3 linked regions of the Rhinolophus ferrumequinum genome follow. The protein of the gene in region 2 binds, or shares a complex with, the protein of the main gene of each other region. Links are inferred from orthologs where the notes say so. Each region holds a gene or a part of one and is shown on either strand. Other genes may lie near its edges.

Region 1 (9,377 bases), on a different chromosome or scaffold from region 2:
CCAGGGAGAGGGAGGGAGGGAAGGAGGGGGCATTGCTCCCACTCCCGCCATGAATGCCAGTCCTGTCCCCCCACCACAGAGGGAAAGTCTGAGCAGGAATCACATCCTCACCATCCGCGCGGGAACACTGAAGCTGTGGGGAAAATGTACCCACATTTGACAATGTGACACGAGAGGGCAGAGCCTATACAAAGACATCTGAAAGGCTCTGAAAGGTCACAAGCCATGGAAGTATAGGGTCTGCTTGGTGTTGACACCGCTGGCTTCTGAACTCCATGAGACAAGTCTATGCAGACTTTGTTCCCAAGGCAATAAATCCAGCGCCACCGGGATCTGGGCTCCATCCACAGGGCGCCCACCTTGGCTCAGCACAGCAAGCCAGGGCCCAGCCCCACGCCTCAGTCACCCTGGGGGCTCCAGGAGATGGCCCCTGCTGCCCACCCCTTCCCCCAGCACCTGCCCCCAGTACCCCAAGCTCTCCACCAGGGCTAACCCAGCCCATTTTCCCACAGCCTGAGCATCTCAGCAGACGGGGAAGCTAAGGCATAAAGGGGCCACATGGCTCATCAGTGGGGGCTCCAGAGACGAAGCTCCCACCCTCGCCTACCTCATACCCTGGAGTCACCAGACCTGGTACTCACACTGCCCGGCACACCTGTCACCTGACCCAGTGTCCACCAGTCCTCCTGCCACTGGGAGCTCTGGAAGTCAGAGTCAGCCACCCCTTCACCTTTGACCTCTGCCTGCCCCAGGAACCTCTCCCAAGTGGAAGCTAGTATTTCCTCCCAATGCCTCAGGGCCTAGAGGCCACGTGGGCAGCTCCTGAAAAACCCCAGAACCCCAACCCTTGGGAAGTGCCTGACATCGGGCTGGACCACGGAGCGCTGGGCTCGTCTTCACACATCACAGCCTCTCGCAGCCACTGGGCGCCTCCCCTCCTGGGCAGGACTGCAGCACCACGGGGAGGGCCCCACCCCCAACAGGCACCAGGCCCCTGACCCCCACCAGGCCCCTGACCCCCACCCCTGATTCACCCCAATCCTGAATCCAGCAGCCCCTCTGAGCAAGCCAGAGCCCTGGGCCGGCGACCAGGAGAGAGCACCCAACCGCCCGGAACGGCCCCTCCCTGGACCCCAGGTGTGTCAGGCCACAGAGCACAGCCCCTGCCTGGGCTTCGCACGGCGCAGGTCCTGGACAATTCGCGTTCTGAGCTGGAGGGAGGGCAGACCCAGCACAGTCATCTCTCTGACCTTAGAAAAGTGGCCATGTGAGGTTTAGCCCGGCAGAATAGGGTCTCCAAACGCCCCAAGCATCAACCGGAAACCCCCTGAAAACTCCATGGAAAACACAGGTGCTGCCAGACCCCACTCAGACTCCGGTGACCACACACCCTCTAAAGGCCCCGCGAGAGGGGAGGGAGACCCTGATCTCAAGCCTTGGGAGGTCTCAGGGGATGCGAAGGGTGACCAGAGGGGCAGCTGAAGAGCCTCCCCCGCTTTTTAAAAATGGCGGCTTCAATGTGTCTGGCCCCTGGCCGGGCTGCCCCCAAACAACCCCCTACCCAGAGGGACCAGCAGCATCTCATCCAGAGGCGGGATTTCACCTGGACCTGGGGGGTCTGTGCGAGAGCCCGGGCCTTGGCGGGCACTTTCTGGAACCTGCATCACTGTGGAGCTCTGAGGACTAGGTCTCCCAACTCAGACAGCGGCGTCTCCAGCTCCCTGGGTGACGCCCCCGTGCAGGAGCCCATTAGGAAAAGCAGGCCTGGGAGGAAGTGAGGAGCCGGGCCTGCAAAGGAACCTAGGGAGGGCACAGCTGGCAGAAAAGAGGGGTGCGGGAGGGAGAGGAGTGTTGGAGCAGCGGGAGGAGGAGGAGGGGAAGAGGGAAGGGAAGGGAAGGGGGGAGAGGTGAGGGATGGGACGGGATGGGTGAAGGGGAGGAAGGAGCAGAGGCTGGAATGGAACGAAGAGGAAAGCGGTGGGGCGTGGCCTCCTGTGCCTGAGGAAACCAGGCTCAACAGGTCACATTACTCCTGGTAACCAAATCGCTCTCCCGGGGCCAAAGCCAGGGGAGCGGACGTGGTGGGCGGGGCGGCTTCCCCAGAACTCCCCCAGGTCTGCTGAACTTTCCCCAGGACCTGCCTCCACTGTGGCCCCCACGCCACAGCTCAAGGCCTACAGGTGCCTCCTGGAACTTGTCCTGGGGGAAGGCTGTAGGGTCTGCTTCCCACCCCACCCCCAGGCCGCTCTGGGTGCGGGCATCTTCTCATCGAGCACCATCTCTGATTTTCACAAAGGCCGGTTGCTCAATTCAAATGCTCCACAGTGGATCCACAGTTTACCCCGGGCAAGCCGGTGGATAAGCTCAAACCTGTGGACGGGTACAGAGCCAGGGCCTAGCTGACACCCCACCAGCTTTAATCGCAGCCCACCCTTCCTGGCCAAAAGATAGAACTCAGGGCCTCTTCACAAAGGCCTGCAAGCACGGCCCCCAGAAATCCTTCTGCCCTGGGGCTCTGCCACCAACCCCCCAGCACCGTTCCACCAGGCTGAGGGGCACCGAGGGGACAGGAAAGGCCTGACCCGAGATCAGAAACAAGAAACGCTCAGGTCAACAACCCAAAGCCCCTGCTCAGCCTGAGGACTCGCTGGGCGGTGCCATAGGGCGGTGCCCATAGCGCTGTGCCCACGGGGCAGACCCCACTCCATGCTACTACAGCTGCAACCGCCAAGTTCACCCGTGGGGTCGGCGCTCCGCTCTGCCCACCCCCACCGGGCAGTGGTGACCCTGGGAGCAGCAAGGTCCGACTTGGGGACTCCTGGAGACCAACACCGGTGGAAGGCAGCAGCAAAGAGCCTAGTTCTTCCTAGAGCGCTGTCTACACCGCGCAAGGGGTGGCGGCGGGCTCCCGGCCTCTGGACGCCACCCGCTCTGTCCCCACCAGGGCTGCTCGGCGGCCAAGTGTCCAGCGCTCCCGGCCACTGACCCCTGTGAGGCGCCGACTCGCCCCATTTCACAGCGAGGCAGGTAGAGTCCAAGGCGCCGTGCGCGGATGCAGGGCTGGTCAGTGTCCGAAAGGTGTGGTCTCAACCGAACCGCGCCGAGCCCTTCCAGGCGCCCGGCATTCGTGCAAACACCGGCGACTAACCGCCTGGCCTTCGCATAGGTCATAAACTTTCCTTAAACTGAGATCTCTGGCCGCGGAAATTGAGAAAATTTAGGAAACCCCGATTTTTAAAAGTCTGCCAGCAGTTTTCACAATTTGACAAAAACTTGAATCCTTACAGGTTTGTGGCCTTAGTATCCTAGCCAACTTTCCAGGGAAAATGTCAACACTGCCCAGGACCGTGGAGCGCTCGGCGACGCCTGCCTCCGGCTCCCGCGCCCGCGCCGCGGAGTCCCCCCCGCAAGTCCGAGCCCAGGAAAACCTCGTCCCGGCCGCCCCTTGGCGCTGGCGCGTCAGGACCTCCCGGGACGCCCCTGGGCCCGGAGGGGCCTCGCCGTTCCTTCCCTCCCGCGCCGCGACCGGGAGCCCCCGGCTGTCGGCCGCCCGCTGCAGCGGCGACACGGCCCCCGACGACCTGCGCGGGGCGGGTTGCTCCCGCGCCCGCCCCGCAGGGCGGTTGTCGGGCGCCAGGGCTCACCCGTTGTAGTGCGCCTTCAGCCGGACGCGGCCGCAGCTCCCGTCCATCTTGGGGCCAGTCCTGCTGGGCATGGCGCGCTCCGCCGGCCGCCGTCAGCGCCGCGCCCAGGACGCTCGGGCCATGGCACGGGGCCCCCAGGGGCCCGGCGTCAGGTGGGGCCGGCGGCGGAACGCGGAAGGGAGCGCTCGGCGCGGGGTCGGGAAGCACTGGCCCCGCCAACTCCGCAGAACTTCGGCGGCGCGCGAGGCGGGGAGGGGGCGCGGCCGGCGGGGGCGCGCTCCCGCGGAGTACGGCGTCAGGCCCCGCGGGGGGGAAGTCCGAACATGGCCGACCCAGCCGGCGGCCAATCGGTGGGGCGGACGGTCCCGGGGCGGGGGCGGTGGCACCTGCGGCCAATAAGGGCGAGGCGGGGCCGCCACCTGGGCCAATCCCCGGGGGACCCCGCGGCCGCGGCCCAATGGCGCGGCGCGGGGACACTACCTGTCGGGCGGGGCGCGGTCCACCTGCGGCCAATGGGAGCGCGCGCGGCCCGGCTCTGCCCGGCAACCCCCGGCGGCTCCGGCGGCCGGGGACTCCGACAGCAGCCGCCCTGCGCGTTCCCCTCGGTGCAGTGGGCTCCGGTGCCCGCGATTCCTACGTGGGGTCTCCGTGCTGCAACGCCCCGGGAACTTGGAAATGCCAACTTTCGGGTCTAGATTCGCTGAATCGAAACTCCAGCCATCTATACTAACAAGACCCGGGTGATTCCAGGGCAAGCGCTGGTCTGGGGTACAGAGAGGAGGGGGTCGCTGGTGACGTGGGCGGGGGGCGGCCAGAGAGAGGTCCGCCTCCGGGGAGGACAAGTGTGGGTCAGCAGCTCCGACCCCGAATCCCCAGTGCCCCGCGTCCGGACAGTTTACTGATGCGGAGACCGAGGTCTTGAGACCCCGGCCAAGACCACGGCTGAGAGGGGCCAGGCCCCGATGGTTGTCCGGGCCCCAGCCGCCCTCCTCCACCGTGGAATCCAAGATCCCCTTGCAGGGGAGGCTTGTCTACACTCGCTAGCCGGCTCCCTCTGCTCCTGGGACGAGGAGACTGCGTTTGCCGGGGTCGCCCATGACCTTCATTTCTGAATCCACAACGTCCACCTTGGCGTTTGATCTGGACGGTTGCATTTGAACACTATCCACGGCTCACGCCTTCTCTAAGGGCCTGCAGCCTAGCCCCCCCGCCCTTAAATGTGGGGTTGGGTTTCCTTGAGGAACCCACCCCTTACTCGTTGCGTCCACAGAGACCCACGTGTGCTGTTAGCAGGACCTCACCTGGGCGCCAGGTGGGCATCCCAGGCTCATAGGTCTGCAGCCCCCATCCCTGCCACCCCTGCCAAACCGGTCCTTCCATTGGCTACTCTCCGGCCGCCTCCCCCCCCTTCCACATTCCACCCAGCTGGCAACCTCTGACGCAGTCTCTGCTAAGCCTTCACCACTCCTCACCTGGACAATCCTAAGGGCTTCCCACCCTCTCTCATTCCACAGATGCTTCCTGGCGCCTCCTGGGTGCCAGGCGTTGGGGGGACCCTTGGGGAACCAAGTGGTCATAGAGCTCACGTTCTTCCTAGAGATGGCCACAGAGAAGCCCTTTGACGGCCCATCTCTCACCTACTTAAGGTGCTGTGAATTCTCCCTTCTTAGAGAAACCCTCTGCACCCCACACCCTGCCACCCACCTGCTCATTTCTCTGCTCTTTACTACAAAATTCCTGTCAGGAAGGAGCCATCTGCAGTCCGTATCCCCACTTTCTCCTGCCACTTTCGCTGAGCCCCTCCTCCACCGGGACTCCTGTGTCACTCCTCAGACTTTTTCTTAATTGACCCTTGATGATCCCCTGGGAACTCACCCTAGGATGCTCTCTCCCCCACCCCTCCTCCTTGGCTCCAAATGCCATCCCAAGTTCAGCCCGCTCCCCTGAACCTCTCATCCTAGCAGACCTCCCTCCACCATGCCCTTCACCTCCTTCATTGTCATGCCAACCCCTCCTTTCCAGGTGCTCAACTCAAAAACCTTGGAGTTCCCTTTGCCTCTGACACCCCACTCCCCTCCAGCTGCAAATCCGGGCCCCTCCACCCTCAACATAGGTCCAGACTCCAGCCACGTCCTGCCACCTCCACGGCCACCTCCCACTCCACCCTCAGCACTGGGATTTTTGCAGAAGCTTCCAGTTTCCTTAAAACATGCGTCAGTCTGTGTCCACCTGGTGTTCAAAATCCCCAATGATCCCCCATGGATCACAGGCAAAAACCCCAGGTTCTGCAGGGACTGGGGTCCCATTTCCTTCTGCCCTCATCTCTCACCATCCTCATACTGGCTCAGCCCACCTGGCCACCTGGCCACATTCCTGCCTCTTGCTCACCTCGGGGCCTTTTCACCACTCTTCCCTCTCCCAGGAGCTACTTCTCCAAAACCCACACTTCCTTTGAGTCTCTACTGACCATTCCTGATGCCTGTATCAGTCCGCTTGCCCGCCTCCCCCCTGTGGGGTGACCGCTGCATCCCTCCGCCTGGGCACAGAGCTCCATGACTTTCAGTTGGACGTGAAGGGGAACCAGGTACGAGTGTTTACCCTGTGAGGGATGAGCAGGAATCTGCCATGGGAGCGGCAGCCCAGGAGGCAAATGTGTGGGGTGCAGCCCTCCCAACCCCACCCCCATGCGAGGCCTGCAGTCTTGTCCCCACAGCCTTGGGCACTCCTGACGGGTTGCACTTCATGGGCACAGGCCATCTGACATCCCACAGCATCCCCGGGTGTTCTGATTTTCTGCCTCAAAGCGTGGCCCAACAGGGAAGGAGTCCAGAGCTTGATGCCCACAGCAGGCAGGACGGGCTGGTGGGTGGCCGTTCCACGGGACACCATTTCTCGGATATGCCCTAGCCAAGGCCCCAGTGGACACAACAGCCCAAGTACAACCCCAGAGCCCTTTCTAACCGGGACAGCCTTGTTGGGGTTGGAGCCACTGACATCCAGTGTCCCCTGGGCACTGGTCTCGCCTCAGCTGCCATGTGGGAGCCTCCCTCCTGGAGGCTGGTACCTGGGTCACTGCAGTCCCCAATCCTGGCAGGGGAAGTTCGGAAGAGAGCTGGGGTGGGAGGGCTTTGTTCTCCGCGGGCTTGGGGAATGGAGGTGCCTATCTCAGGAGGCCATCCTGGGGGGGAGGTTCCACGCCTGGCTCTGGGACCACATCGAGCCCCAGGCCGGAGTGAGGGTAGCCTGCGGTGCCCAGAAAAGGTCCCCTGAGAGCAGGTGGAGGCCAGGACTTTTGCATTCTGCCCACCAACTAGCTCTGCAAAACAAAGGCCCCCACCTGCCCAGGCCCTCAGACCACCTCCAAAGGTTGGGGGCGGGTGACCTCGGGGGTTTCCTGGTGGCCACCGGCGCTGAGCCACCCCTGTTAAGGCCTCAAGGGTAGAGTGAGGTTGTGATGTCCTGGGCACCCAGTGCTGTCACTGTGTCTGCCACCTGCTCTGTACTCTGGTGACCAGGGAGGGTGTCTGTTCCCCAATTTTCAGACCACTTGCCCCTCCAGAAGTGATGGGGGTTGGGAGCCAGTCAGCCGGGGTCACTATTGTGTCCCCATGTCTCTGAGCATCTGGCACACAGTGGAATGAATGAATGGATGAATGAATGAATGAACGAATAGGTGAAGACCCCTTGGAAGTGCTGGGACAAGGCCGGCCTCCTAGGACCACGGGCCCTGTTCTGGGGGTCACTGGGCAGAGTTACACCTCTCCCCTTCTGCAATCAGCAGCTTAAAGGCGGGTGCAAGGACAACCCATGTGGGCGGAGAAGGAAGGTGACCCTTGGACCTGAGCGCAAGACCCCAGACAGACCCAGGAGGGCCCCAGTGGCTGAGGGAGGGTCCTTTTCACCTCTGGGCAGTTTCTGTTTGCCCAGATTTTCCACAAAGACCTCATATACTTTCATAATCACCAACACCTCTTATTTCCAAATGAAAATTCAAAGATGTGTTTTTGTTAAGTGATTGTAAAAGTGGCACGGGCTTCTTGTAAAATCCCACATCACGGAAGGATGTGGGCCGAGGAGAAACCCTCCAGTCCTGACACGCCTCCTCCCTGGACAGACCCAGCCGGGCAGGGGACACGCCTGTGGAAGCCACCAGCACTCCCTGTGCCCTCTTGTCACCTGGGGGTAGGGGGGTCCACTGGTCATCCTGGCAGGTGTGAGACTGACCCGGCGGGGACCACGAGGACCCAGCAGGTCACAGGAAGAGCCCAGAATGGGCAGCAGAAGTTTCCTTTCTTTGTCACAAGTCGCGGGATTTTGAGAAACTGGTGCAAGCGACAACGTTCACTGCACTCGCTTATTTATTCATTCGGCGGGTGTTGGCTGGGTGCCCCAAGGTGTACCGGGATGCAGGGGTGAGCCAGCCAGATAAGGCTGCTCTCTCATAGACACCAAGCGGGGGACAGGCCACTGTCACTGGGTCACACAGATATGGCAGCCCTGTCAGAGAGAGCAGGGTCTGACCAGGTCCTGGCGGGGGCCAGCTGTGGAGTCTGAGGATGTGTGAAGTGGAGCAGGAGAGCAGGAGAGCAGAGGGCTGGCCTGCGCAAAGGCCTGGTGGCCTCAGGGAGCAGGATGTGTGGAGCTGTGGGACAGGTGAGAATGCAGAAGTGCTGGGGCAGACCCCAGGGGCCTTGTGGGCCACGTAAAGGGGAGGCAGGGAGCCAGTGACGTGGCCTTGAAAACTCTCAGAAAAGGTGGGTCCCTGCTGCTGTGCAGGGTCCTGTCCAGAGGGAGAGGGAGAGAGGGGTGTCTGCATGTCTGCGGGCTTCTGGGCCTGGGTGTGGATCTGTGTTTCTGTGAGTCCACGTGTCAGTTACTCTCGCCTCTCAGCTCCAAATTCACCACTTACCACCTGTAATTACAGGTGGAGCTCCTCCACGGGGAGGCTCAGCCCGGCTGGCACTTGGGGGTGGCCCGCGCCCGCAGGGTGTTGGGCAGCGCCCCTGTCTGCCCCCCACACACCAGCCGCTGGTAGGCGGAGCATCCCTCCTTCCCGAGAGCGCAGCGCTACACGCTCCCAGTAGAGGGCGCGGGAGAGCCAGGCCGGAGGAAGGGGCTTGTTGCTTCCCGGGCTGCGCTGTGAGTGGGGGGTGCGGCTGCGGATGTGGGAGGCTCTGCGCGGCCTTGAGTTCGCACACCTGGGCCGAGCTCCAGCCTGGGGAGGGAGACCCTCCAACTTCCCCTCCGTGGGCGCCTCCCTCAGCTCCCCAAGAACCATTCCTGTCTCTCGTGCATGTGGTCACTGTTCAGTGTCGTCACCCTTTAGATAAGTGTTCCTGTTTAAGACCACTGGGGGGCGCCTGTGAGCTGAGTGGACCTCAGTGGATACAGAGAGTGTGTGTGTGTGTGTCTGTGTGTGTGTGTGTGTGTAGTTCTCCGTGTGTGTGTGTGTGTGTGTGTGTGTAGTTCTCCGTGTGTGTGTGTGTGTGTGTGTGTGTGTGTGTGTGTGTAGTTCTCCGTGTGCCCTTGTATGTGTTGCCTGTTTCTGCACCTATGAGTGTTCCGTGTGGGGCATGTGCCGGGAGAGACCACATCTGGCTAAGGCAGGACAGCAAGGAGGGGTGGGGTGGCTGTGTCCAGAGGCTGGAGAAGAAAGGAGACGCTGGCCTGGGGGACAGAAGGGCTGGGAGGACACCAACCTTGAGGCTAGAAAGTGCTGGACACTGCTGTGCC
Region 2 (10,321 bases):
TGAAAGTCCAAAACACCTTCGTTCACACTGTTCACCTGTTTCCAATCCTAGAAGGCCCTCCCTCCCCTTTCTCAGAATGAAAGCAGACTCTCTTCCAGATTTCCCATGCCTGGATTCCACTGCACTCACCGAACCAAAACATCTTTGGCCAGGAAGGTGCTTTGTGAGGTCACTCCACTACCCAGTTAGGAAGCACTACCCTAAATCAAGGCCACCCTTCCCACTCACTAAACCCTATGCAAACCATCCTGACTAAATGGCATCACCCCCACCCCACTGCAATAATCACCCCTCCCATCTCTGAAATCCAGAATCAGTTACTATCAGTACCACCCAGCTGCCAATTAATGCTAACACCTACTGTTATTTATACTTTTATATAATCGTCCAGTCTCCTAGATTATATGCTTCTTTAGGGCAAGAATTTAGTCTATTTCTTTACAGAGCATGACATTTTGCACATAGCAGCCTATTTTAAAATAAAGATAGAGGTTTTCTTATCTTTCTCCTAAGCAGAATTTAGATGCTCGAGGGGAAAAACGGCAAGCCTCACTCATGGCCAGCCTTGAGTCACTCAGAATTAAGGAGTATCTAGTAACGCCTTCAGAAACTAAGGACACCACACTAAAAAGCCTCTGCAGCTGGCACTCTGCACTCTGTGTCCACCAGGAACCATGGATGAGTCAGGCCACAGGCAAGAGGCGAAGAGACACACGCAGGCAATCACTCCTCCATTTCTAAGCACTGGAGAGAAGTCCAGGTAACGTGGCTCTCAGCAGGCAGCTGAGCACCTTCCTGAAAGGGTCTGGATGTGGATGGGTAGATAGAGATAACAGCCAAAATATTTTCACCTGTTAGCGATCCTAAGGAGAAATACCCTTTTTTCACTAGAGGAAGAAAAAATGCTATAACTAAGTGTAAGCCTTCAAATATTTGCTTATTGAGGACATTTCTAGCATTAAGTCATGCCACTCCCCTGTCCAGAAAAATTGATCTGTTAAACGTGAAGAGAAAACAGCTCAAATATAATGCCAAAAAATTAGCCCAAAATGCTTACTGCAGAGAAAGCCATAGTGACTTGGGATCTTTCTTTCTCTTATCCTTTTTTGTCTCCCTTTGGCTTAGTTGGTTTTTATACAAAGCCATAAACATGATCTTCCCACATTTTCCCCCACCAGATGGAAGTTCATCATGCCACATGTCACCTAGCAACCTAAACACCACTCTACAGCTTCCCAGATACCCAATTCTTCATACAAAATTTATCTTGTTCTATTAAACAAAAGGGGGTAAGGAAGAGATAAGAGAATAAAAGTTAAAACAAGTGTTAATATGTTTGCTTCATAATCATTTGAAATGGGATAAGAGAAATGGAAAGGACTAAAGTTTAACTGTAACCATTACCTGATAACTTAAAAGGAAAAAATAAAAATGTACCTACAAGATACTCAGGTTCTTGCAACATTTGAGGTTCAACAGTCTTGTGCTCCAATGACAGAACTTTGTATGCTGCAAAGCCCATCCTAAAATTCAGTGCAGCTGAACAAGCTGCACTTAAAGAACATTTAAATAATTTTGCAAACCCCTGCATCAGCTGACTTCTCCCTCTCACTTTATCCAATTCCAATGCTACCACCACCCTGAAAATCTATCTTCCTTCCTTCTTTCCTTCCTTCCTTCCCAACCTGGTAATATCATAAAAAGGGTGCCAAAAAATGTATGCACATTTTAAGAAAGGGAAAAATCTATTAAAATTGTAATACTCAATATATGCCGATAACAAAAGATGACTACAAGTCACATTTGACTTCTGCAATTACAAGAGGTGCTCAAAGTGGTTATCATCAGCGTCCAGACACTTCTGGAGACAGAATTACTGCTTGAGCAATGTTGACCAAAGCGTCCACTTGTATACATTTTTTTGGCATCCCCAGTATTTTCCTTCAAAACTCAATTCATATGCCCCTTCTCTTTGGAGTGCTTCCCAGACTCACTCAAGAAAACTGCACTTCCTTTTCTGTGCTCACAGGGCACTGTGAAACAACCACCACTAATATTTTTTAAAAAGGTCCTAATCTATCACGGAGGCCTCTCAACTCCATCTACCCAACATCCAGGAGGTATCTATCCTCTTCTCCCCACTGAACAACACGCCAGCCCACACCACTGGCCTCTTTCACTTGAAGGGCTGGCCGTGGAGCCCCTTGTCCTAGACTCTTACATCCAATTTCCAGAAAGCAGCCAGCCAGTGGGTCCCCTAGATATCCAGCAACCAGAACAATGCCTTGGACATAGTAAATGTTTAATAATTTCTGTGGACCAAACAAATGACTCAATCAAACAACCACATTTGTGTCTCCCAAACAGGCTATTAAACCAATGTTCATTGTATGCATAATGAAAAATGACAGATTTTAAGCATGTGTTTAATCATGTAAGTAACTTTAATTTTAAACATGTAAATTTCAAGCATGTGAGCAAGGAAATGTCAATCAGGAACCTAGAGATACTGCAAAGTATATAACATTGTATTTCTCTTTCCTTTCAGACTTATTTGTTGGTTTCCTGAGAAACTGATTTCTGATTTAGAATATTCACATAAATTGTCATTCACAAACAATCCTTTAAAAGGCTAAATGTAGGTTTAGAGGGTATTTCCCCCCTGGACAGCACTGCAAGATAAACAGGTGCCAAATTTCCACTAATTTTATTTGGTTTTCCATTAAGAGTTTAACCAATTGTAAGGAACATTTTAGAGCTGTTAAAGCCAACATTTTCCATCATTGTGTCAGGTTCCTAAATGTCCCCAAGATTATCTTTAAAACACTATATTTATGTGTTTTTCTCTATAAGTACTAAAAAAAATAGTGTAAAAAAGTTTTTCCCTCTTAATATCAGAGAAAATTGGGGGATGTCACTCTGAGTGCCCTGTATACACTTGGGCTGACAAAGCCTTCTTCCCCCACACCTGCTGCCCCAACCAATGCCCCCAGGAGCCAGGACTCTCCACTATCAGGAGGAACAAATGGAAAATTTTTAAGCTGAATATGCTTTCCACCAAAGATTACTGCAAAGGACATATCCTCAGGTGCTTGAGAGAAATTTCGGAGGCATGGGCTGTTGTAAAACAGACACAGCAGATAAAATAACTAACAAAACGCCTTTTCACTTCTGACACATTGTATCGGCATGCAGTTAAGTGGAGACAATGTTATCACTCCACCAAGAAAAAGGGAAATCTACTCAACTCCGAAATCAGGCCCAGGCTGCGGAGCGTGGGCACCATATGGAGCTAGTTCCAGATAGGTAAACGCTGAGGCCCTTGCAGGAAAACTTTTAATTCAGTAACTGATTTCAGGCTTGTACTTTGAAAGGAGTCTCGCACAGGAGCAACTGAATCGCCGAGATCCTGTGCTCAGCCAAGAAACTCGCGAGCTGGAGGAGCAGGCGTCTCTATCCCGGCCGCCTTTCCCACCGCGGGCGGGAGACCCCCTCCAGCAGCCCCCAAACACGGGGCCGCCCGCGGAAGCAAGGAGGAAGGGCTCGTCGCTGCGGTCCTTCCCGGCCGGGACCCAAGGCAGTGGAAGCAGCAGACACGCTGCCACTCCCCGGCGAGTGTGGAATAATTAAACTCTCCTCCCACCAAAAAAGTTCCCTCTCCCAGCTTTGCCCGCCGGGCCTGGGAGCGGGGAGAGGCCTGGGGCTGGATTTCAACCGCTGCAGCAGCTGCGGCCGATAAGAGGCGTCCCGGCCGGCTGCGCCCGCGCCGCGCGCGGGGTTCGGCTCCACTCCTCGGGCAGCTCGAGGGGCGCCTGTCACCACGCCGGCCCCGCGGCCGGAGCCCCGGGGAGAGGCGGGCGGCGTCCCGCCCAGGGGCGCGGGGCCCGGCGCGGTCGTCGGGGCTGCGCTCGCGGGCCCTGCTGCACGGAGAACTTTGCGGCCAGGAGCCCCGGGCGAGGGGCGCCTCGAGGCCGCCGCGGCCGCCGCACTTTCCCTTTCCCCGCCTCCCTCGTCTCCCTCCTCCCCTTTCCAGGAAGCGCCATATTGATCCCGGCGCCTTCCCTCTCCCCCTTTCCTCCCCCTCCTTCTCCCGCCCCCACCCAGCGCCCCGCGCCCCCAGCCCCTCACCTTGGCGATGGCCTTCCGGTAGCGAGTCACCGCTTGCTGGATGAGGCTGAAAACTTTCATGTGGCCGTCGCCGCACGGCACGACCACCCGGGTCCTCCCGAAGCACACGGTCACTTTCATGCCGCCGCCACCGCCAGGGCCAGCCCGAGCCCCGCGCCCCTCGCAGACGGCCGCCGAGCGACTACCGCCGGAGGCTAGAGGCTGGCGCGGCGGGGCAGCCGACTGGACGGGCGGCTAGGGGCGCGGACAGGCGGCGCCCGGGGGCCGCTCCGCTCGCATGCCCGACCCGGCCGCCCTCGCGTCCCGGGGCTCGCCTCGCCTCTCCCGCCGCGGCGCCTGCGGCTCTGGCCACCTGTTCGGCGTCTCGCGCGCTCCGCGGCGGCGGCCCCGGCGATGCGGCGCTCGCGCTCGGACGGCGGGGGAGGGGACGGCGGCGAGGGGAGGGAGACAGGGAGGGAGTGTGAGAGAGAGTGAGAGAGAGACAGAGAGGAGAGAGGGGAGGAGCGGAGGCGCACAACACCGCGCACGTGCGGCGGGAGGCCGCCGCTCCCCGCGCGGGGCGGAGCGCGCCCCCGGGACCCCCGCTGCTCGGCCCGCCCCTTGCCGGGCGCCCGCGCTCTGCTCAGCGGACCCTCGATCCTGGCGCTCGTCCCTTCCAGCCCCTCGAGACCCAGGCGTGCTGCGGGCTGCTCTCGCCCCAACCAGCCCTCTTCGGGGATGCCTGCTTCTTGCCCCCGAGTCTCTCTGGAGCCCCTCTTTCTTTGTCACTTTTAATCCCCTTCGTCGGACTGAGGGTTCCGGGTGAATCGCTTCTGGAGAAAGCAGTTTATTCAGGGTGCCGAGATATTTGGAGAGGAGTGGTCACCAAGTCCCCCGAGAGGACTGGGAAGGAAGGGCTGGGACAGGAGGTTCTTCCCCCAGCGGGGCCTTGCGCCGCGGACGACACCCACCCACCCCCACCCCCACCCCCTCCAAACACACACACTCCTAACCCACTCCCGCAGCCTGGCAGCGTTTTGCACTGGCTCGCTCCTTGGGCTACAAGGCCTGGAAGAGCTTGTTAAGCGTTAAAAGCAAAAATTAATCGTCTGCTCTACGGAGCGGCTGGTGAGGCTTTGACTCGATCGGCCTAGCTCCTGAGGCCACTATTTACCTTCAAGTTACCTGTGAGCTCGTGGTGACCCACCCGCTTCCACAGGTAGAACTTAAACATCAGCAATACTAATCATTTTATTTCTTTAAAATCTGCAACACAAGCAACCCTAACGCAAATTTATGACCAATATAAATGTGAGAGGGCATCTCCACCATGCGTCCGCTGCACCACTACCCCCACCCCCAAAGAAAAACGAGTCCGTAGTAAGTGCCTCTGGGACTTAGGACCTTTCAAAAGAATGTAGACCAAGTCAAGAAAAGTGACTGATGCTCATGTCTGCCTTAGCTGTAAGCTGCGATTCCTTAATAATTGTATGCTATTGTGTTTCAAGAATAGCAAATGACAGTTAAGTGTCGTTGGCCATGTGTGTGTCCCAAACGATAGTAAATTCATTTTGCCAGTTGTTTCTAGAATATGTGAAAGCAATTAACAGGTTCTGTGAGCTCAAGTAGAACTTCAGCATTTAGAACAGGAAGAGCTGATGACCATACATGCATCCCACTCCACCTCTCATGTTAAAATAAGGAAACAGGACAAAGTGATCCATCTGCTCTCCAGAATTGTTGCACCTTTCCCTGCCCCAGGTACAGTGTGATATGTGATATGAAACATTGTACTTCCTCTAATCTAGTCAATCATCTGTCCTAGCAAACCAGTGCAATAAGAAAGTGCTATGTGTCATCATCCCCATCTTACCCCAGGATATTGATAAGGACAGAGTGATGAAGTCGCTAGCCCAACACCACAGAGAAAGCTGACACAGACCCAAAAATAAAATCCAGGTTTCCTTCCACACATTCATGGGAAAGACTCATCATATTCCTCTTCCATGTGGCTGCAATGTTCAACCTTTCAACCCAATAGTTAAGTTTGTGACAGCAACTCTTGTCGAGGTCTTCTTACTTCTTGTATTAATACTTGGATTCACAACAACAGTTTCTGATAATTATAGATGTTTCTGTTTTAATGCATTGGGGAGGAAGGAATACACTAGTTTAAAGTGGGGCTTTCTCAAAATAATTCTGATTAAAAGGCAAGTTCAGGAATATCCAGAGTACATCAGACATAACACGGATCTAGGTTCAGATCCTGACTCTACCATTTACTAATGCCTTAGACATGGTGTTCAATCTTTCTCCAGCCTCAGTTTTATCACCTGAAAAGTGGAGTTGATGATCTCCATCTCATAAATTATGAGCATTAAATAAAACAATGTGTTAAGACATTTAGTACATGCCACCACATGGGAATGTGTGGTATAGTTGAGTCCAGTAACCATAATGTGGGTGAAGGGTAACAAAGTCAGGACAGGGCAGCTGCATGATGATATTGGGGGAAGGGAGAACAGTGGGAGCAGAAGCCAAGGCTGAGAGAAAAGACTGGCCTGGGGATACAACTGTTCGGTGACTGCACCAGGGCTCCTGACTCTCAGGCCTGTACTCAGTTCACTTCAGTTAGATTCCACATGCAATTAAAGAAGGCCTTCCATGTGGAAAGCACCGGCTAAATATTACAGAATTATAAAAGTGAGTAAGAAAAAGACAATATAGAGGTTAGAATAAGGTAGCTCTAATAACTAATTCAAGACATTAAATATTAAGTTCCCACAAAATGTTAATGACACTCCTGGGGAGGGAAGCCTGCCGTCATAAAAGGCAACATCAGAATATAAGTGTACCACTTATTCACATCGTTTCCTTCCACTATTCAATAGTTAATAAAGATTTAGACAATTTTTCAAAACTATGATTCATAGGATTAATAATTATAATGTCTAGTCAACTAACCAGATAAAGCTTTATATAAATCTACCTAGTTTATCTAGATATAGTGATTCCCTTTACATTAATAATTGATGGAAAACTAATGCTGTGTTAATTTTAGGTAACAGACACTTTGGTGTCTTGAGTCAAATTCATAACATGTCCTCAAAAATAATGAATCTACTTGCACTAATATACATGCCCAACATCTAACCATAAAGCTACATTGGGGCCAGACTACCTTCACATCTGCAAAGTATTCAGCTTAACCAAATTGCTTCTGGCCTGATAAAAGCATAAAAGCAAACCTAGTCCCAAAGAGAAGCAAAATTATCCAAGTCAAGAGACAAATGTTACATAAATATTTTCTTATGTATTTATTAAATTCTTCATATTTCAGGTGAAAACTTATGACCCTTATCTTACTTGCCGTACTTTTTTACAGTTGATTGATTCAATTGGCTGTGGAAACCCCAGAGCATTCCAAGGATTAATTAGGATCCACCTGGCCTTTGTGCCCATCTGCAAATGAGCAGGTGTGACAACATGGACTATAATTTCAACTATATCCAGCAGCATTCAGGTGCTCCATGAAATAAATGCACACCCCACATGTGTAGGAATGGTATTCTATTACTCAACATCTTACCCTTACAGGAACTTTTAAAATTCAGTCATACTTTGAAAATTAAAGTTATCTCTAGGATATTTCACTCAGTCATAAATATTATACTTAATATCATGTTAACAATCTTGTATGCCTAACCTCACACAAGGTCAGTCTGAAAAAAGAATTGCATCAGTATTCACCGAATAATTACTGCCCGCCTGTGTTATACCAAGCACTGAACTGTAGGTTGGGTATGTAAGTTCCTCCCTCAAAAGGTGCCCAGTCTGGAAAAGGTTTCAGATGTGAACAGAGTATGATAGGTGATTCATATTAGGGATAGTGGGGGTACACTCGGGAGATGTTCACTCCTTCTGAGATAGAGGGAGAAAGGTAGAAGTAAGTCACCTGGAGTAAAGCTGTCCAAGAGAAACTTAAAGCGAACCACATTTGTAAACTTTAAATCTTCCAGTAACTGCAGATAAAATTAATTTTAATAATCTATTTTATTTAGACCATTATATCCTAAATATTATCATTTCAATATGTAATCAACATTTTAAAAATACTAATGAATACTTTTCATACACTTACTCCTCCTACTAGTTCTTCATGATTTTGTGTGTAGTTTATACTTACAGCACATCTCGATCAGAATCAGCCCTCCATATTTATTCACTCATGCATTCACCCATTCATCAAACACTGAATTGTAAGAGAGCTCAATGGCTACTTGTGGTTAGTGGCTACCATAGTGGACAGCAGAGCTTCGGGGAATGGGATTGCTGATGGCTGGAAGCCACATACATCGTCAAGGAACTTACAAATATATTGAGCTCTTTGAGGGCAGAGACTGTTGTTCACAGAACTTCCCCAGAATTGCTCTCCCAAATCCGGACGCATGCTATTTACTCAGTAAGTGTTTGACGAATGAGTACGTGCATCAGTGAATGAATATGGAGGGGCGGAGGAAAGATGGCTTCTGGACATACATAGATATGAATCATATAATAGTATAGCTGTGTTTGGGGTACACTGCAAAGATTGAGGGGAATAAGAACTACACTCAGGCTCAGTACAGCTTCTCTGTTGTGCTTCATTAAACATAAGTCTAAAAACAGTGATTTTTTTCTAATGAAGCATGAGCTCATATGATTTATATGGGTAAGAGTAATGCCAGTGAAAGAAAGAGAAAAAAAAGGAAAAGAATAAGAAAGAGGAGGAGCCCTCCTGATCCCTCAACTTGCTGAAAGCAGTCATCAGACATGAAAAGTACAGGGAGTGACTTGGTTCAAAACAGGAGTAATTGTACAGAACAGACTTCCTCAGGTCATCTCCGTTCCCCTGCATCCAATGCTGTGTCTTCACCCTCGAGGCTAATGTAATCCAGTGGCACCCGACTCACCAGCTTGTGATTACAGGATGGGGTAGGATATACTTTTATCCCCCCAACAGACCATATGTATTCAAGTCCCCACCTTCAAAAATATTCCAGGTCGCCCTCAACTGGCAAATTAGCTGCAGTCGTCAAAGTGTGCACCCCATTCTTGCTCTCCTGTTCCAATGCCGAGAAACAACAGGAAAGTGTGGCACCAGCCTGCTGAGACAGCCCATCTTTTTCAGGGTGGAGGCTGGCACAGCTGGTGATGTTAAAACTTAACTCTATTGAAGACAAATCTGCAAGAGGGTCAAACAAGCAGCCAAGCCGCTTGCTTGCTGGTGGTCCAGCAGTACTCAGAGCATCCAGGAGTGTGGAGAGGTGTCTCCATGCGACGCTTTCATTATAAACACCAGTTCTTTCAGTTGAATCTTGGGGAGCCAAGTTCAGAGGCAAGTTCTCTAGAGAGGCCTAGAGTGCTGACCCTCTAAGTTGCTGAGGAAACCAGAGGTATAGGTAGTGAAATGACTGCTGTTTTTGGAATTTCAGAGTCTGAATCAAGATTCTCTGCTGGGTAGAAGAGCATTCTGCTTTCTTTTCAAGGTGGGCAGGGTTCTACCAGGAACACAAAATACTGCAAGTCGTCTTTTTCTTCTTCTTCTTTTTTTTTTTAACTCTAAAGAACTTTGAGAAAATGATGTGAGAATGGGAGCAGATCAAGGAAATGATTTTAATCATTTCTTAAGAAGTGAGACTCTCCTCTCCCAGAGGATACTTAACCTTTGATGATTAAAAGGAAAAGGATGAAATGAATTCACATAAAACCTCACACCAATGCTCAGACAAATCTGAGTTCTACAGAAATTCTGGCAAGGGGATATGAATCAGCTTTTAAAGACTATTTAACAAATGTGGTTAAGCAGTTTCATTCAGTAAAGAGGAAAAGGAAAAAAATGCATTGATAATTGGAACAATATATTTTTTCTTGACCCTGTCAAGATAAAAGGGTTGAAATTCTCAAATCCTGAAATAATGAAGATGAATAAAGGGAACGCTTTCGCCGGAGTCACTGTGGTGAAATTAAACACACCCTGCAGGACCCTCCCAGAGTGCCTCCAGGGCTGTGGGCCTACCTGGGTGACCAGCCCAAAATCTTGCAGGGCCCGCACCACCCTGTCCTGCTGAAGGAGGAAAGTCCTCTTCCCCCAGAGCCAGACCTGTTCATGTAAAAAGGAGGGGAGTGGTGGTGAGGCTACTTTGCAACCAAGTCCCGGGCGCCTGCCATTCTA
Region 3 (9,615 bases), on a different chromosome or scaffold from region 2:
CCGTCACTATCACCGCCACCACCTTCCTCTTCACCATCACCTTCATCGCCACCATTATCATCATCCCCATCGCTGCCACCACCATTGCACCAGCACCGTCACATCCATGATCACTATCACTACCACTGCCAACGTCCCCTTCCTGTCACCGTTATCACCACCACCACCACCGCCACATCTACCACCTCCACCATCTATACCACCATTACCATCCCCTCACAACCATCATCCCCACCCCTACAACCGCCCCAGTACCTGTCACCGTCTTTACTACCGTCACTGCGGCCCGCCTGCTGCAGAGGCCTCGCCTGCTCTGGGCCTGAGCCTTACCTTGCCCACGTAATGGGGCAGGGGCGCGTTTCTCTCTTCATCGATGTGCATCTGGTTCCAAATCCAGTCTCTCTTGTGGCGCCGGAGGGTGGGTAGCATGCTGGGAGTGTCCAGCTGGGCAACGTGAGCACTCGTGGCAGTTGCCACCAGCAGGCACAGGCAGGTGCCCATTGCGGCCAGAAGCATCGGGAGCACATACATCTTCCCAAGAGGCACAGATCTGGGGACAGAGAGGAAACACCGTCAGGGCCTGTTGGTCCCTATGCTGGGGTGTGAGCAGCTCCCAGGGACAAACGAGCCCCCCTTATCTGTTCATTCCTTTGTCCTTCACCCTCTGCCGATCCTAGCAGGACCAGACTCTGTTCCTGCCCCCAAAGAGCTCCCAGCCTGGGAGGGGAAGACAGGCACAGCAACAATTTGTACTTCATGTCACATGTGCTGGTGTGGAAGCAAGTGCAGGCGAAGGGAGAGCCCAGAGGAGGGCTGCGGAGAAGGCGTCCCGGACGAGAGGGTGATGCTGATGGTAGCTCCCGAAACCTTGTGCGGTGGGCACCCAGTTATCCTTATTTTACACGTAAGAAAACCCACACACAGAGAGGTGCAGTTCAGCTTGGAGCAAGTGGTGGGGCTGACAATGGATCCCAAGAGTCTGACTTCAGCGGCTAACATTTATCGAGCACTTATCAAGTGCCTGACACTGTTCCAAGCACTTAATGGGTTGTCTCACTTTAATCCTCCCAATCACCCTCAAGGTGGGTATAATTGTATCCCTCATTTTGCAGATGAGCGGAGGAACAGAGAGGTTTAGGAACATTTCTGAGATCACTCAGACTGTAGGCAGCCGTGCCAAGATTTGAAGGAAGTCTGTCTGGTCCAAAAGTTCATGGTTTTTCTTACTGCTCTCTCTTTTCCCAGCAGCTGCTATGACATGGGATTTCAAGGCTCCTCTAAATAAACATGTCCTTTGGCCAGCTTTGGAGCCCATGTAGCAGTGTGGCTTTGATGCTGTCTTCAGACGGCTCTTAGGAAACCCAAGTGTGTTAACCCAGAGGGTCAGACCTCACCCCCAGAATTCATGGGAGATTATCAGTTCAGGAGCTGTCAACAGAGCAGGGGTGGGTGGTGTGGGGGTTGAGAGGCTGGGCTTACAGTAGCTTCATCATTTTCAGGGCCCACTGCAAAATTTAAATGTGCGGTCCCATGTTCAAAAGTTATTAAGAATTTCAAGATAGCGACAGAAGAACATGAAAGCAGGCATGGGGGCCTTTTAAGCACAGGGTCCCTTGTGGTTGCCCAGGTCCATGCCTTTCAAGGCAGCCTTCGGGACATGGGATCAGCCCAGATTGGGATCTGGGTTCCCCATCGATGGGGGCCTAGCGTCCTCCTGAATTCCAGGGAGAGGGATTTTCCCCACTGCCCCACAGTGGGTGGAGGCTCTGACCTTGGCTGTCACTGTGCCCTCAGCCCTGACCCCTTCAGTCCACCCCTGCTGGGTCCCTGTGTCACTGACCTGTGGCGTGTGGGATGGTTCAAGGGAAGGAGGCAGGTGGTGGGAGTGGGACCAGCGCTCCTGCCTGGAGAGACGAGGACTCACAGGGTGCTGCTGGAAGGAGGCCCACTCCCTCCCTGACTGTCCCCTGCTTTGGCCCAGGGGAGAGGCTGGACTCTGCACATCACAGGAGGTTTCCAAACTCTAGTCACATTTCTTCTGTGACACTGGCGCCAGGCTGGCCTCAGTGAGGGCCGAGGGTGTCTGTCTGTGCTGGGCCAGCCTGTTCTCTGGGTCTGCTGATCTTAGCATCCGAGGTTCCCATCCTGTGTCCCCTGCCACTGGCCCAGGAGGAAGTGGGCTCCTGGGTTGGGGTGGAGCAGAGCAGGCCCCAAAATACAAGTACCATGTGCCTCCAAGGTCCTCCTGCCTCCGCCTCTCACTTTCCTCAGTCACAAATGAGGCGACAGACTTGGGAGAGATCCAGTTCCCTTTGAGGTGGGTGTGGCAAGGGCAGCCATTCCAGGCGCGAGGCAGGGAGTGAACAAAGCCACGGGGAGGTTGGGAGTCCTGGCCAGGAAGCTGGTTCTGACTTAGGGAAGGCAGCGGGCGTGACCCCTGCCCCAGCCTTGCTGGGCCCGAGCCTGGTGGGTCATTTCCTTTTTTGCTTAGAAAGGAACTGCAAGTCTTAGTTCTTTCTTCCTCCCTCAAATGAGAAGTGACTCGAAAATGAGAAAATGAAACAAACAGAAGTGAACCTGAGAGAGAGAGAGAGAGAGAGAGAGAGAGAGGTACTTTTCAGGCTTCTGAGCAGGACAGGGTGTGAACCCTGATGGGTATTGAGCACCTACTGTATGCTGGGCCCCATGCTAGGCATTGGGGTACAGCAGTGAGCAAGACAGACAAGAACCACCCTCAGGGAGTGCACACTGTAGTGGGAACACCGGGAAAATAAGTAAATGAGGAAAAACATCAGCTAGTGATCAGAGGGTCCCAGGGAATTACAATGGGGGACACAACAGAGACCGAGGGAGCAGCTGGTTGAGATGGAGAGGCCAGGAAAGGCCTCTCATAGAGATGACAGCATCTGAGTGTTAGTCCTAGAAACGCCAGGGGAAGGAAGGGAATTCTAGGCAGAAGGACCAGCAAGTGCAAAGGCCCTGAGGTAGAAAAATGGTTAGTGTGTTTGAAGAAGCAAAGGAGGTCCCTGGGTCAGATACAAATGAACAATGAGGGAGGGCAGATCACAAGAAGAGGTGGCCAGGTCAGTGTGGTAGGCTGCATGGTGCCACCCACACAGATGTCCACATCCTCCTCCCAAGAACCTGTACGTGGCAGATATGATTACGTTAAGGATCGTGAGATAGAGAGATTATCCTGGATCATGTGGGTAGACAAAATGTAATCAAAGGTTTTTAAAAGGTGAAGGAGGGTCAGAATCAGGAAAAAGGAGATGTGACAATGGAAACAGTGGTTGGAGTGATGCAGGATCATAGGCCAAGGAATGAGGGTGGCCTCTAGAAACCAGAAAAGGCAAGGAAATGGATTCCCCCCTAGAGTTTGTAGAAGGAACACAGCCCTGACTTTAGCTCACTGAAACCTGTTTCAGACTTCCGACCTCCAGAACTACAAGGTAACAAATAAATACATTTGTATTGTCTCAAGCCACTGTGTTTGGGGAGGTTTGTTACAGCAGCTGTAGGCAACTAATGCAGTCTAATTGTGCAGTCAGCTGTGGGGAGGGGGCTGGCTGGGCGAGGGGTGACCCGTCACTGTCATACAGGAGAGAGTTGATGGTGGTCCAGCCCAGGTTTAGGAGGGGATGGCCACGGGGACTATTTTTGGGGTACAGTTAACAGGACTCACTGGTGAAGGGGAAGTGGGGGCGAGGGATGGGAAAGAATGAGGGAGGGCTCCCAGTCTCTGGCCTGAGCAGTGGGGGGACAGCAGGGTCTTTCCTGAGATTCAGAAGCCGGGGCTGTGGCGTGTTGGTGGGGAGGAAACCAACAGTTCTGTGCGGACTGTGTCAGGTTGCAGTTACCTATGAGAGGTCTCTGTGGTCATGGCCAGCAGCTGCTGGAGACCCGCCTGGAGTCTGGGGGAGCTTGCAGTTACCGTCTGGTCACTGTGTCTGGTCACTGTGTCTGGACGGTGTTCAAACTGCGAGGGTGGAACAGTAAGGAGAGCAGGTAGCTGGAGAAGAGAAGTGACCCCAGGACAGCACCCCCGGTTTTGCCTCTTTCTCTGTCTGGTGAACTTGTCCTTCAGAGTTGAGGACAAGTCCTCTGGGGACCGTCCCTGGTCCCTGCGTCACAGCCCTGCTTTCCCGACGTCCTCCACTGGACTGACATCCAGGCCCCAGGGCAGGGCTCAAGTCAGAGCTTCCTCTGCTTCCTGGAGACCATCTTTCCCTCTCACCCCAGCTATGTCTCCCCTACTCAAGGCTCAGCCACATGTCACACGTGGATCGTTGCTCTCTGGGCCCACTCAGTGCGGGGTGGTGGCTATGACGGCAGCCTCTGTAGTTTGCAGAACCTCCGTTGCATTGCTTTGTTGCTAAGCGACTGTGCACAAGACACTTCAGCCCTCTGAGCCTGTTTCATCCTTGGTGCAGTGGGAACACCAGCATCTACCTCTCAGGGTTGTCTTCAGGTTGAATTAGAAAATGTTTGTGACGTGGACAATAAGCAGTAGCTAAAAATGGAACCAAAGGTGTGTGGATTCTCACTGCCACTGGGTCTGCTCCCTCGGGGACTCTACTTACCCTTCTTGTTCCTTCACACCCCATCACTTGGTGGAGGGATTTGCAGGTCCCCTCCTGCCAGATCCAGTCCTCCCACGCCTCCCCTGACCTCTGCTCTGTGTCGAGGGGCTGACCCCTGGGCTTTCTGGCCCTGGCTTCTGGTGTTTGGCCAATAGGCGCTCCAGCAGGAGCTCTCAGGATGGGAGGAGAAAGCGGGATTAGTTCTTCCCTTTGGCTCTTTGTGCTGGTTCATACCATTTGCTGTGGCTGACAGCTCCTGGTGGGCGGGAAGCCCCTCCAGGGTCCTGGCCCTGACTGGGTTCTGGAAACAACCCTCCCTCCTCTGTGCCTTTGGCTCTGGGTGGTAACGGCTTCCACTGTTGCTGGTGTCCACGTGCCTCAGTGTCCCCCTTGTTCCCTTAGCTGAGCTCCCGGCTCTGTAAGTAATCCCTCCGAGCCCCCAGAGTAAATACTGTTTCCTGTCAGGACCTGTCTGCCCCAGTGAAGAGGAGCACAGCTTTCTCTTGGGGGGGCCTGCTTGGATGAGCTCGACGTCCCAGGGCTGACAGCATCCATCAGCCAAACAAATATGTAACCATGCTGGACTTAAATAAATCCGAGGCCACCTGTCACAGGCTCCGGCCACATGGCACACAGGGGACAGTAACCCCTCAAGGGGCTTTGTCTGGCCCCACATATAAAGTATGATCTGAATGTGCACATCCATTCTGTGTCCAGCAGAGGCTCTGCGGTGGGCCCTGGAGAGAACTCCCTTGGCACACAGAACTGGGACTGCCCTCCAGAGCCACCCCACCACACCAGTGTGTCACTTGCTGGGGGGAGGGGGCGGGGGGAGGTCTGCATGCTCAGCTGTCTTGTCAGTGGCAGTTAGTGAGGAGGCAGGACCTTGGAGATGAGGACCTTTGGGAGACGAAGCTCACAAAATCCCATCGCCAGCCCCCATCCCGGACCCTCAAGGGCTCTTCCAAGACAGCACTTTTTGGCCGTGGGTGGTGGATGGGGGCTGACGTTCCTGAGTATCTCCTCAGTGGCCCACATTGTCTCATTTAAACCTTGCAAACTATAAGGTAGTTGTCAGTAATCCCATTTAGCAGGTGAGGCTCAGAGAGGTGGAGTGAGTCATCGTAGGCCACACAGCAAGAGGCGGAGCCAGGATTTGAACTTAGGCTGCCTTTCACCCCACATAGTGCTTTTTCCATCATGTGCCCCTCTCTGTGGTGACATTCATGTGCAGTAATAATAATAAACTGTTCTCCATGCTGGGCTTTCATAGCTACCATCTCATTCAGTTTTCACATTATCCCCCGGAGGTAGGAATTATCAGCTCCATTTCACAGAGGAAGAAACTGAGGCTCAAGACAAACAACTCAGAAGGGTTAGACCTGGGACTCCCCACTACCTCTCAGATCTATCTTTTTCTAAATCCCACGCTCCTTCTACATCCAATCTCAGCGGGACCTTAGGGTCTTTTCCATCTGAAAAACTACATTTTATTTGTGTTATTTTGCCTTTTGTGTTAGAAATTTGGCCACCAAAATGGGGGCCAAGAGGAATGGTTTTGTCTAACAATTATTTCACCTCCAACTGCTGTAGAGGGAGAGGAAGTCAGGCAAGAGGATTTGCTGTACCCACAGCTGGCAGCAGCATTTCCCGTGGCTACATCTCTGGAGGTGTAGTCAGAGCCACAGCGGGGTCAGACTTATTTCAGCCCTTTACCGCCCTACAAATAGGAGTCACGTCTCTTGGTTGCTGTCACCAAGTTTTCAGAGGTCAAGGTGCTGCTGGGTGGCTTTGGGTGTGACAGATGTGCAGAGGGTCAGATTTCTGTGCTCAGAAATTCCCAGCTGAGCAGCCAGCCCTGGCAACTTGCCCAACAACTGCCTCGAGGGGAGATGGGATTTGCTCTTTGGGCAGCTCAGATGTGCGTGCCACGCACGCATTGACCAGGTGCCTGTCTGTGTCCCTGTCATCTAGGATTGTGACAATGCCCGTCCCTGGAGCCATGTTGGAGACTTTTGGGGGCAACTCCAAATGGACTCATGGATGAGGTGGGCCAGCTGGCGAACCTGAAGGGGTTGTGCCCTTGGTCAATCTGGGAAAGTCTGGGGGACCCACAATGAGAAGACAGAGTGTGGCCCAGAGACCCTGGTGAGCGGGCATGGAGCCCAGAACAAGGGGCAGAGGAGCCTGGGAGGACCTGGGGAGTGGTTGGGCTCACCCACGCCTGGATGGCAGGTTGGGGCCTTGGAGACGCCCCGGATCCGGGTCTGTGTCCACAGTGAGTGGGACCACTGAGGTCGGAACCTAGACGCCAGGCTTGGTCACATCCTCTCCACCTTTGTATTGCCGTTCTCTCTCCTCTGCCTGGATTTAGTCCCATGTCATCACTTTTCTGAAACCCTCTCTAGGGCCCTGGGGTTACACAGTCATTCAACAAACATAGTGCACCAACTATGTGGCCGGCACAGAATGAACACACCTGGGGAACAAACACAGGCTGCATCCCGGTGGGGGAGATGGACAATAACCTCTTGATAAAAAATAGACCTTCAGACTGTGATGGAGGAGTGCAGGAAGCGGTGAGAAGGCGGGGTGGGGGCGGCCCAGATTGGTCTGAGGGTCTCACTCCAGGAGTGAGTCCTGCCTGTCTCTGTCCCCCTGTGGGATCAGGCAAAACTCCCTTTGCTCTCTTTCTTTTTGTGGCCCCCATGTGTCCTTGAGATTTAGCCTGGAAGGGGCTGTGAGGTCTGCTCAGCTCTGTGTTCTTTAAAAGGAGAGTCTAGGGGGATACAGGGGGCACAAAGGGAGGGGCTGGAACTGCTCCATTTGTAGCTAAATCGACTCTGGGAAGCCTGGACCCAGCTGGGAACTGCTCAGTGGGGCAGCCTGGCAGATGCCCCTAGGCTGGTCCTGCCCCTGACCACTGGGCCGACCCCTGCTCCTTGACCTGACCAGGACCCTGCTCAAGCCTGAGGTTTTAGGGGCTAAGTTCAGGCTTTTGGGGGGGGGGTATTGAGAAGGCTGGAGGGCCCTTGGGGGTGGGGCAGAGGAAGCCTCCAGGTCAGAGATACATGCATGACATCTACAGACACACCACACAGACACACCACCCTCCACTGTGCCTTCACAAGTATACACCCCTGTCCCCAGGCATCTGCCCACGCCAATTCCTGAAGAGTCTCTGCTCTGTGGGTCTGGCCCCTCTGTTCCCACCCAGCACACCCACCATCAGCTGGGACAAGACCTGGCAGCTGAGCCCAACCCTAAGCAAAGCTTCAGAGAGTGGACGGGACGCTCAGTTCCAGCCCAGCCTCCTGCAGGCTCTGGACTCCGGCCCAGAGGCCCTGGGTCAGGGATGAGGGGCTGGGCCCAGAGCACGCAAGAGGTGTGTCTGTAGGAGGGGACGAGCTGGGCCCCTGCTCCCTGTGTGGCCCTGAGCAGCTCTCTGCACTGCCCTCCCATGCCATCCCCCCACACACCTCAGTTCAGGGCTGAGGTTGTAGCTCCTGATCCCCAAACTCCGTCAGGAACTCCCCAATTGTCTGTTCAAACCCCAGCATTTACAGCTGGGCCTTGGCAACTACAGACACCGTGTGAATGAAGGGTGAGGCCTTGGGAGCCTTGGGGATGGGGTGTGCTGGGGGTGGGACTGGGCAGCCTACAAGCTGGCCCCTTGGGACTTTCTCCTGGTTCGTAGCTCAGTTTGGCTCAGGGACCTGCTCCTGTGGGTCCCAGACCTGATCCCCTTCCCTCAGGGTTCTACCAACAGCCCCGTCTTAACTCTGCTGAGAGCTGACCACCCTGCTCCCTTGCTGACTGCCGTCCCTGGCTCCTCACCTCCAGCAGGATGAAGCTGGTTCCTGAGCCAGCACGGCGTGTCCCCTGCCCACGACTCTGGCTCTCCTCTCCCCCACCTCCTTGCCATTTCCAGTCATGAGGAGAAGTAGGTGTTTCTGGGATGCACAGGTCTTCCTCTCTCTAGGCTTTTTGCACAGGCTGTTTCCTCTGGATGACCCTGGATCCCAGAGACCCCAGCATAAATTTGTTTTTAATCGCAAACTAGCTCTAGTGAATTGGTAAGTATCTACCTCAAAGACAGTATTGAAGATTCAGGGGCTGAGTTCAAGTTCAGTGGGAATGAACACTATGGTGGATTAGTGATGTCTGCCATGGGTATGAGAATGGGTGAACGGCCAACGCTGCCTGAATGCCCTTCCTTGCTGTGTCCCCTGGGTGAATGCTTTACTTCTTTTTAAGCCCCGGGCGCCTCCCCCATGAGGTCTTCTGATTGACTCCTGCCCCCAGTACAGCCTGTGCTTCCTGGCCCACGTGCCTCTGAGCAGGCAGGCTCTGGGTCTGTTTCCACTTCATCCAGTATCCAGCTGCATGAACGCAAGGCCCCGGCCCTTGATGGTCAGGTGTTCCCATTGATGCATGTCAGCCTGCCTCAGTCTCCAGTCCTGGTCTTGTCACTCTTCCCTCTTCACTCACAGGATTGAAAACAAACCTGAATTATTTGCAGACAACACCTCGGGTGGTCAGAGTGGGTGCAGTAATTGGTATAACTCAGTGAAGCTCCTCCTTGTTCCCAAATAGCCTCTCTACTGGCCCAGTGTATTGTCATACACACCCCCATTAGGAGATTGGTCCTTTGAGGACAACGAGATTATCCTTCTTATCAGATCCCGATGAACACACACCTGCCTCTGTGCAGGGGACCTCTTACAGGATAGGACTGGTAAAACAGAGGTCATAGGTGGCCACTCACCCATTCCTGTACCCATTCCAGACATCACTAATTCATCACAGTGCTCGTTCCCACTGAACTTGAACTCAGCCCTTGAATCCTCAATACAATCTTTGAAATAGATACTACCGTGTTTCCCCCAAAATAAGACCAGGTCTTATATTAATTTTTGCTCCAAAAGACGCATCAGGGCTTATGTTCAGGAGATGTCATCCTGAAAAATCATGCTAGGGCTTCTTTCCGGTGAGGTCTTATTTTCGGGGGAACACGGTATTCTACTGTAGA

Evidence for each region.
Region 1: PARD3 (region 2) and PRKCZ share a complex: the UniProt entries of both Homo sapiens proteins name them as parts of the par polarity complex. The link is inferred for Rhinolophus ferrumequinum from reciprocal best matches to the Homo sapiens genes PARD3 and PRKCZ.
Region 3: the proteins of PARD3 (region 2) and CDH5 are in contact, whole or in part, in an NMR structure (PDB 2KOH), measured with the Mus musculus proteins. The link is inferred for Rhinolophus ferrumequinum from reciprocal best matches to the Homo sapiens genes PARD3 and CDH5. Residues at the interface, in NP_296369.2 of Mus musculus: Ala599, Gly600, Leu601, Gly602, Val603, Ser604, Val605, Lys606, Gly607, Arg609, Lys611, Lys622, Ile625, Asn655, Gln656, Met659, Arg663, Met666; in NP_033998.2 of Mus musculus: Tyr774, Gly775, Asp777, Gln779, Glu780, Glu781, Leu782, Ile783, Ile784.

What each region holds. Positions count from the first base shown.
Region 1 is NC_046292.1:900,448-909,824, reverse strand, and holds the start of PRKCZ (protein kinase C zeta type), read right to left. Parts: upstream 3,928-9,377; 5' UTR 3,716-3,927; coding exon 3,645-3,715; intron 1-3,644. UniProt on the Homo sapiens protein: Calcium- and diacylglycerol-independent serine/threonine-protein kinase that functions in phosphatidylinositol 3-kinase (PI3K) pathway and mitogen-activated protein (MAP) kinase cascade, and is involved in NF-kappa-B activation, mitogenic signaling, cell proliferation, cell polarity, inflammatory response and maintenance of long-term potentiation (LTP).
Region 2 is NC_046288.1:5,597,163-5,607,483, forward strand, and holds the start of PARD3 (partitioning defective 3 homolog), read right to left. Parts: upstream 4,512-10,321; 5' UTR 4,249-4,511; coding exon 4,129-4,248; intron 1-4,128. UniProt on the Homo sapiens protein: Adapter protein involved in asymmetrical cell division and cell polarization processes. Seems to play a central role in the formation of epithelial tight junctions. Targets the phosphatase PTEN to cell junctions.
Region 3 is NC_046298.1:16,358,059-16,367,673, reverse strand, and holds the start of CDH5 (cadherin-5), read right to left. Parts: upstream 3,933-9,615; 5' UTR 3,884-3,932; coding exon 3,861-3,883; intron 2,095-3,860; exon of another isoform or gene 1,841-2,094; intron 551-1,840; coding exon 331-550; intron 1-330. UniProt on the Homo sapiens protein: Cadherins are calcium-dependent cell adhesion proteins. They preferentially interact with themselves in a homophilic manner in connecting cells; cadherins may thus contribute to the sorting of heterogeneous cell types.